Linked DNA regions of Daphnia pulex. The protein of the gene in region 2 purifies or fractionates together with the protein of the main gene of each other region. This does not show direct contact. Links are inferred from orthologs where the notes say so. Each region holds a gene or a part of one and is shown on either strand. Other genes may lie near its edges.

Region 1 (3,760 bases), on a different chromosome or scaffold from region 2:
AAACTTAATAGAATTCCAAGTAACTTAACACCGCGTAGTGAATTTCCTATACACTGGAGCTAACAAGCTTATTAGGTTTTTGGGCCTTTTTTTTCTATAACATTGTACGGTTATAATAACATCCTACGTCTTTTTCCTGACGTAGATTTGAAGCATAAGTGTTAAGATAACTAAATATCTGACAAATAAAGTACATAACATATCAAGAAAAAAATTCATTATCTTTTGTTTCCATCAAATTTGTTGTACAGCTCGGGTTAATCATGTAACCAATCAAAAGGGTATTGAGTTGCTATGGCGACGTTCAAAAGTTATGCAGTAGATTCGTAGTACGGAACATAAAGAAATAGATGGGTTTCGAGAAACGAATGGGATTCCGGGTTGAGACACTCTTGACGCACCATGACATAATATCTCTTCAGCTTGTGTTGCGACCTTTTCACCATAAAAACGAACAGCACAAATGAAGGAATAGGCTGATACGAGAAACACCAATCAATTAAGCGCTTAACTAATGGAACCAAATGTAGGCACCAACTTTAATTCAATTTTCATTCAGTTTTTTATTAAGTTCCAGAAAATAGGGGATGGGGGTCGGCAAACGTTACGTTTTTGTTAGAGTTGGGGCTTTTGTGACAATCTGACAAGAGGGGGAGGAGGGGGTAAAAAAAATAAGCCAAAAATCGCAGTACATAATTTCTGAACGTCGCCTATGCTAAATGGTAACATTGAATGAATAAGTGGCGAATAAGCAGATTCAGTTTCATTTTCTCCCGTTGTTGTAGCTTACAGTACGCATCGGAACTTTAAAATTAGAAGCGCCCTGTTGTTGGATCTGATAGGCCAACGGATGAATTTTAAAGCCATAAAGTCGTGGGACAAATTGATTGGTTGGTTTTTTCGGTCTATATTCAGGGTGAACCATGAAGAGCATGTGGGGGAATCCTGTCCCAAAGTACGCTCCATCAGTGTGGTGATGACGGGAGGATTTAGGGGTATAGACGTCCATACATTTTGGACAATAAAGCTTCACCATAGCTTCCCCTGGAACATCTGATAGGCCTGAGAAGGAGAACCCAAAAATATTTCAAGATAAAAGATAAATTTCTAGTGAAAGTTAAAAATATAATAAATAGTAAAATATATAGTAATAACAAATAAAATCATATTTTTTTATATTACCAATTGGCAACATCAGTTGATTCTCACAGTATACTCTTGGGCAATGACCAAAATCTCCAGCATGATACTTTTCAAGCATTTGTAGAATTCCACGATTTGTTAAAATGTATCTAGCATGAATCAACCCATAAAGCATTTCAGCAGCTTGTTCTATCAAATCAGACTGATTGGGGTTGTCTTCAACATCATCATCTTAAATGAAAAATACTGGATAAATGATTTACACTAAGAATATGAATGAAAGAATTCAATTGGTTATTTATACCTGGCTCTAGGTCCAAAATCATATCAAGTGCCTGCCGATAGTGTGGTACTTGTTCATTCAGTCCAGTTAAATTAAACTTGTCTTGGATATAATCTTCATCAACCTGTTGAGCAATTACAAAATATGCTTAGATTAATTGTTTAAATTTGAAATTACAATTATTCCTTTCCAAGTCTTAATGAATCAAATGCACTTGTTATAGCAAAATCCAAAGAAAATTCTGTGATTTTCATCAGTCAAATTCTACCACTTTCTGATCAACTGATTGAAATATTAAGTGCTCTAATATGTTTTGACCTATCACATCAAATTTAATTTTAATTTTATCTTACCTCACAGAAGAATTCATTTCCACGTAGGCCACAAAACCAGGAGATCCACGAAACTTCTTCGGAGCTGCTCATTTTTCTATGGGTGAGAAAATTTGTGTCAAAACGTGATGTAATTCGTTTAACAAAGCCGTTGATGTAGTTCACAAATCCAAAAATCAATGATTTCTACTCATCAGTTTACTGATTGCAATGCGCGCCCTCTCTCCCTGTCTAGCCTTCAGCGTGTGCAAACTGTGCACACCTCTCCCTTCAGAACACGTAATGTAAACTCTCCCCAAGTCACCATTCTCATTCTTATGTAGACTCTCACTAAAAAAATTGCTGAATCGACGAAATTACCATACCCGTGTACACTATGACCCCTCCTGTTTCGTTGAATATTTTCCAAGTCAAAATTGAATACAATTAATCGTAAACATAACAGTTGAAATTCAATAAATCTTACCTCTTCAAGCCTCTGTTCGCCACCCTAACAAATATGTGTGCGAAGTCGATCTCGTTTTCTCCTAGGGCCTTATTTCTACACAGGCTTTTTTCTGTAAGGTGACATCTATTAGTAACAAGAAGAAGTGTGTGTGCAGTACAAGTAATTCCTTATGAATTCATGATTATGTGGTGAAAGCGCGAAGTTTTCTTATAAAAAACATGATTAAAGAGAACCCATTCCTTAGAATCACACAATTTGAAGGAAGAAAATATAATATAGAAAATATAAAGAAATGAAGTAGGCCTAGTAGGTAGTACGTTGCTTTTCAATGTCTCTTCTTATTTATTTCCAGTAAATATTAGCCGCTAGATGGCTTTTTTTGTTTATTTATTCGGAAATTCCATCGTAATCTTGTCTGTAATCTTTTCAACGCCATCTATTGATTTTCATTCAGTAAACGATAATAGAATATATATATCCGCCGTGAAGCGTTATCAACTCTACTCAATGTTGTGAAAATGTCATTCGGTTTTTCAAATGAAGAAGATGATGACTTTGGCTCAATTTCAATTAAGTAATATCATTCTTAAGTCATTTCTATTAGGAATAGATGTTCATGATATAAAAAATTATAACACTAAATCGCTATTTTAGTTCTAATTTAGCATCAATATTTCACGATTCGGGGATCCACCAATCCAATTCAAAGTCATTAATCTATACGGCACCTAAACAACCTCCAAGTAGTACACTTCCAACCACAAAGGGCATGTCCCAAGCAGTTATTGCTGCAGCTGCTGTCACATGTTATAAACTGTAAGGAGGAAAGCCAAATCAAAGAATTAATTTATTTTATTCTCCTGTTTATCATTTCCAGAAATAATGAAAAATATGAACCACTTCCTGGAAAAATAGGATTAGCCTTATTGGAAGAAAATGAAAGTAATAAAACTTATCAGATAATCCTTTACCAAAATAAGCAGAAACCACTAGCAAGTGTAAGGGTCACCTCAGAATTTACCATAATTGTAAGTACAATTTTTTTTGTGGATGGGGGGGATTATTTACACTACTATTTAAACTTAAATAATGTTTCTCCACTGTTTTGTTGCAGAGTCAACCAAACAACTTCTGTACATTTTATGATGACCACATGCAAAACTGGGCAATTCTGTTTGATTCCAAAGAAGTTGCTCAGAAATTTCTTGGAGAGGTATTAAATAATTGTTAAGTGTAAGCAATATGTGATTCACTATAATTTAAATGTATTTGACATTACTTGTAGATTGATAAAATGAAAAATGTTTTGGCTGGACACATGAATAAGCCATCATCTGCAGAAGCGTCTTCCATTGATAGAATAGATGGCCCATTAACAAACCCTATTGCAAATGAAACACTCAGTCAAGATAGTAACAAAACCAAACTTATATCTCGGTAATGCAAGTAAATGTTAAATAATTCCAAGTATTATGCAAACATATTTGATTGTTTCTAAACTACAGAATTGCTAAACTTGGTCAGCCCATTTTACCCCTCAGTGGAGCAATCGTG
Region 2 (3,760 bases):
TTATTCTTTTGCACATTTATTTTCTTTTTGTCTTCTTTACCTTCTGCTGAGCAAGCCGAAGTTTGGCTTCTTCATTTAGATGAGAAGCCAATTCTTTTTGATGTTGCTTACGTTTTTCTTCGGTAGATGTTTCCTGAAAGAAACACAAATTATAAATTATAACAATGGAAAATGATAAGAAGAAAAGTACTATGTACCCGAAGTTTAGAATCAAGAATAGCGGTCCGCTTGCCTCGACCTAAATTCTGGGGCTGTCGTGATGGCTTTTCTTCGTCCTCTTCCTCCTCCTCTTCTTCCTCTCCAGATTCATCTTTAAGGAATATACCGATATTCTTAATCCTTTTTTTCGAAGCAGTAAGTATAGTAGCTGGACCCTAAAAATAATGTTACTCGTCAAAAAAACAAGTAGAAGAAAAAGTTCAAAATTATAACTTACATCGGATACAATAACAGTGTCGCTCAAAAACAAAGCCTAATATTTTAAAAATAAAATAATATATATTTAAATAAACAAATAAATAAATAAATATTATTAATTTATATAAATACATATTTCTTATAGCGATCATCGGTGCCATCAGAATTTTCCAAGTCAGCAAATCCAAGATTGACATTGAAGACCATTCCTTTTTTGACAACTGCGTTATTCTTCGGGCCGATCACCAAAGAGCTTTCTCGAAATTCAATTCCGGTAACAAAGCCAAGGGTTTTTGTCATCTTGTCAAGAAGGGCTGGTTTTTCTTTCTTTACGTATGCCTCAGCAGCATTATAAACATCGCTAAACTTTGCTCCTTCGACGAGAGATTTCAAAATTTCGTCTTCAACCGATAACAAGAAGTTGTATGTCTCCTACAAGTTCATAAGAATGTAATCTAGACTCATTTATGGAAATATCTTTTTCTTTACCTGCATCTTTTCAGTGGGGTTGACAAGAAGGGTTCGACCAATATTGGAGCAGTAAGATTTGTAACGTGCTCCTAAAAGACAAACAATTGCTCCAAAATGAAGGGGTTTATCATCACTGTGAAATAAAAAGAAGCATTAATGTATTCACATAAAGTTTGCTAATTGATAGATGTACCTCACTGCACTAAATTTCAGGCTGTAATTCCCTCCACTTTGAATTATGGCTGGATAACACATATCAACTTGACCCGTATCGACACCAGAAACATATTTCTTGTCAGTGGCTGCGTTCTCCACTCCTTCGGCTAATTTTGAATGTTTGACCTTGACAAATAAATTCAAATTAAGTCCCATTGAAAAAAAAATAATAAATTTTTCAAACCTTTTTATCTGCATCTACAATTTCCATAACCTGTTCTTTTAAATATTTGTTGAATAAATCAACAGATACTTGACATGCTTTCTTGATCACATTCAGTTCAGATTCTTCTTTAGGAGCCATCATATAAGCTGCCCCAGAACTAACATCAACTGTCCTGAAAATATGATTTCACACATTGTTATCTATATATTTCTAATAACACTTTCTAATGTTTCTTACTCAAATTTTTCTTTCTTGATGGCATTGTTCCATGCATCCATGAACTCTCCATGAAAACTGTCTTTTGAGAACACTCCAAGCTTTTTTCCTTTTTTAGATTTTTTCAATGCTTCAATAAGTTTCACAAAATTGGCTTTATCTTTGTCGCTCTAAAAAAATAGAAAAATTTCTTTGTTGAAGTTCCATGTTTCTAACATGGAAAATATGTATCATGATTTACTTTGTCACGAATCAACAGCTTAACAGCGGGCAAGCCTTTCTCTTCTTTAATTGCCTCCAGCGGGCGTAAGAAATCTATCTTCTTCTTACTTGCAAGGAAATAGATGGAATCTTCACACAGAGCCATAACTGTATCAGTCAATTCATATCCAAGAAGCCATGATTGTAAAGCAGATGTTTTGCTGTACACAACTTCCTCATCCGCCCCCAAAGCTGTGACCAATGCATCCATATCAGCAAACCCAAGTTCAGAGTCTTCATTCTATAAGATATTATATCATTGCATGAAATGAAATCCAACTGTCATGGTTGTTTGACGCCAACTTACCTTCCAAGACGAATAGAATCGCTTTATCCTTCGAAAGAACACCTCTCTATCTGCAGCGAGACTTCCCATTTTCAGTAACAAATGGGATCATCCAAGTCGAATGGGAAACTGCAATATTTCAACTTGAAACTACGAATCTGGAATGGCGAAATTGTACTGAGGTTCGTTACAAAAAACTGCCAGACCGTTTACCCAACGCAACCCATGCTTTTCCCTCTAAAAAGCAGAATGAAGTTCATAAAGACCTGGGCGTTGCCAACTATGATTTTAATAATAATATTATCCATTGATTTTTCAGAAATATCAGAGCAATAGATACCTGGTCGGTTCTCGGCCGTGTTGGCTTCCCCATCTCGATTTTAGGGTAAACGTGGTCCGATTTTCAGGGGGTTTTAGGGCGGGGCCTGTCATTGGAAACTAGAAACAGAGCCATCTAGGCTCTCAAAAGTAGCTGAGCGTAGTAGCTGACACACTCACTAGAGCGCTCATTCCAGTTTCCAAATCGGACCACGTTTACCCTGAAACCGGGATAGGGAAGCCAACACAGCCGAGAACCGACCAGGGATTCTATAGCTCTGGAAATATGCATATTTTTTTATTTTTTTTAAGATTTTTATGCTACAGGATATTTATGTCCTACTGCATGAATCTAAGTGAATACTTCGAATTCGAAATCATGACAAACAACTTGTTGCTTTTCGGAATTTGGCATCCTTACAGAATTGCAGACTACGCGAAAAGTCCATTCCCTCAGTCAGTGTCAATATTTTTACGTATGACTGAACTAAACAGTACAATCGGCCAGTGCACCTATCTTCAAAAAAAAACAAACAAACAAACAAACAGTACAATTCCCTAAAAATGGTTTCAGTACAAAAGTCCATCAAATGCATTTTTTGCCAGATTTGTGAAGGTCTGGCGCCAGCAACTATCGTTCATCAGGTTAAGGCTCTTCCTCTCTCATTTTTGACCAATTAAATTATGCGTTTTGTAGCAAATAGGTTTATTTTCTTCCAGGGAATCAATTAATCTAATGTAGACTAGCTATTACCTGAAAATCACAGTAAGAAATGGCTTAGATATATTAAAATAAGGTACTTAATAAGATAAAGATATACATTTCCTAATGCTGTATTTCCTTTCATAAATAGGATGTAAAATATTTGGCTTTTAATGACATCAAACCATCTGCTAAAAACCACCTTCTAGTCATTCCTAGAGATCACATCAATGATATTAAAAGTCTTACCATAGAAACAGTCAGCATGGGTAAATTGCCTGATTATCAATTCAAATAAACTTATCAATATTTTTTTATTAGTTGAAGAAATGGTAGCTGTAGGACAGCAACTTGTGAAGAATCATGGAGGAGACTTGAGTGATTGCAGGTATCATATGGATTCTTACCCTCATAAAAAATTGGTAGTAATGATTTCAACTAAATTGTAGAATGGGATTTCATTGGCCTCCTTTTAATTCTATTAAACATCTGCACCTACACGTGATATTTCCTGAGAGTGCTATGAGTTTTATAGGACGTCAAGTATTTCGGCCCGGAACATTTTATTTCGCAACGGTACTACTTACGAATTTAAAACCTTTGAATGTGTTAAAAGTTGAAATTACTTAATTTTCTTTTCATCCTACAGCCGGAAGTAGCAATCGAATGGATCAAAAAGCACAGCGCTTCGTTATAAAACACGCAA

The links. Proteins that work in one complex are often made in the same cells at the same time.
Region 1: the proteins of FACT complex subunit spt16-like (region 2) and casein kinase II subunit beta fractionate together in Homo sapiens (co-fractionation; 4 studies listed by BioGRID and IntAct, with this or other methods). This does not show direct contact. The link is inferred for Daphnia pulex from reciprocal best matches to the Homo sapiens genes SUPT16H and CSNK2B.

Annotation. Positions count from the first base shown.
Region 1 is NC_060025.1:6,073,321-6,077,080, forward strand, and holds casein kinase II subunit beta, read right to left. Parts: upstream 2,365-3,760; 5' UTR 2,225-2,364; intron 2,194-2,224; exon of another isoform or gene 2,124-2,193; intron 1,856-2,123; 5' UTR 1,852-1,855; coding exon 1,780-1,851; intron 1,551-1,779; coding exon 1,448-1,550; intron 1,375-1,447; coding exon 1,183-1,374; intron 1,063-1,182; coding exon 764-1,062; 3' UTR 203-763; downstream 1-202. Other genes in the region: FK506-binding protein 15-like, read left to right, coding at 2,725-2,780, 2,861-3,022, 3,084-3,234, 3,321-3,419, 3,492-3,643, 3,712-3,760. UniProt on the Homo sapiens protein: Regulatory subunit of casein kinase II/CK2.
Region 2 is NC_060017.1:5,830,485-5,834,244, reverse strand, and holds the start of FACT complex subunit spt16-like, read right to left. Parts: upstream 2,382-3,760; 5' UTR 2,124-2,381; coding exon 2,055-2,123; intron 1,989-2,054; coding exon 1,728-1,988; intron 1,657-1,727; coding exon 1,508-1,656; intron 1,443-1,507; coding exon 1,289-1,442; intron 1,231-1,288; coding exon 1,082-1,230; intron 1,022-1,081; coding exon 907-1,021; intron 850-906; coding exon 550-849; intron 473-549; coding exon 437-472; intron 375-436; coding exon 198-374; intron 134-197; coding exon 41-133; intron 1-40. Other genes in the region: adenosine 5'-monophosphoramidase HINT3-like, read left to right, coding at 2,916-2,996, 3,206-3,323, 3,376-3,442, 3,504-3,630, 3,704-3,751. UniProt on the Homo sapiens protein: Component of the FACT complex, a general chromatin factor that acts to reorganize nucleosomes. The FACT complex is involved in multiple processes that require DNA as a template such as mRNA elongation, DNA replication and DNA repair.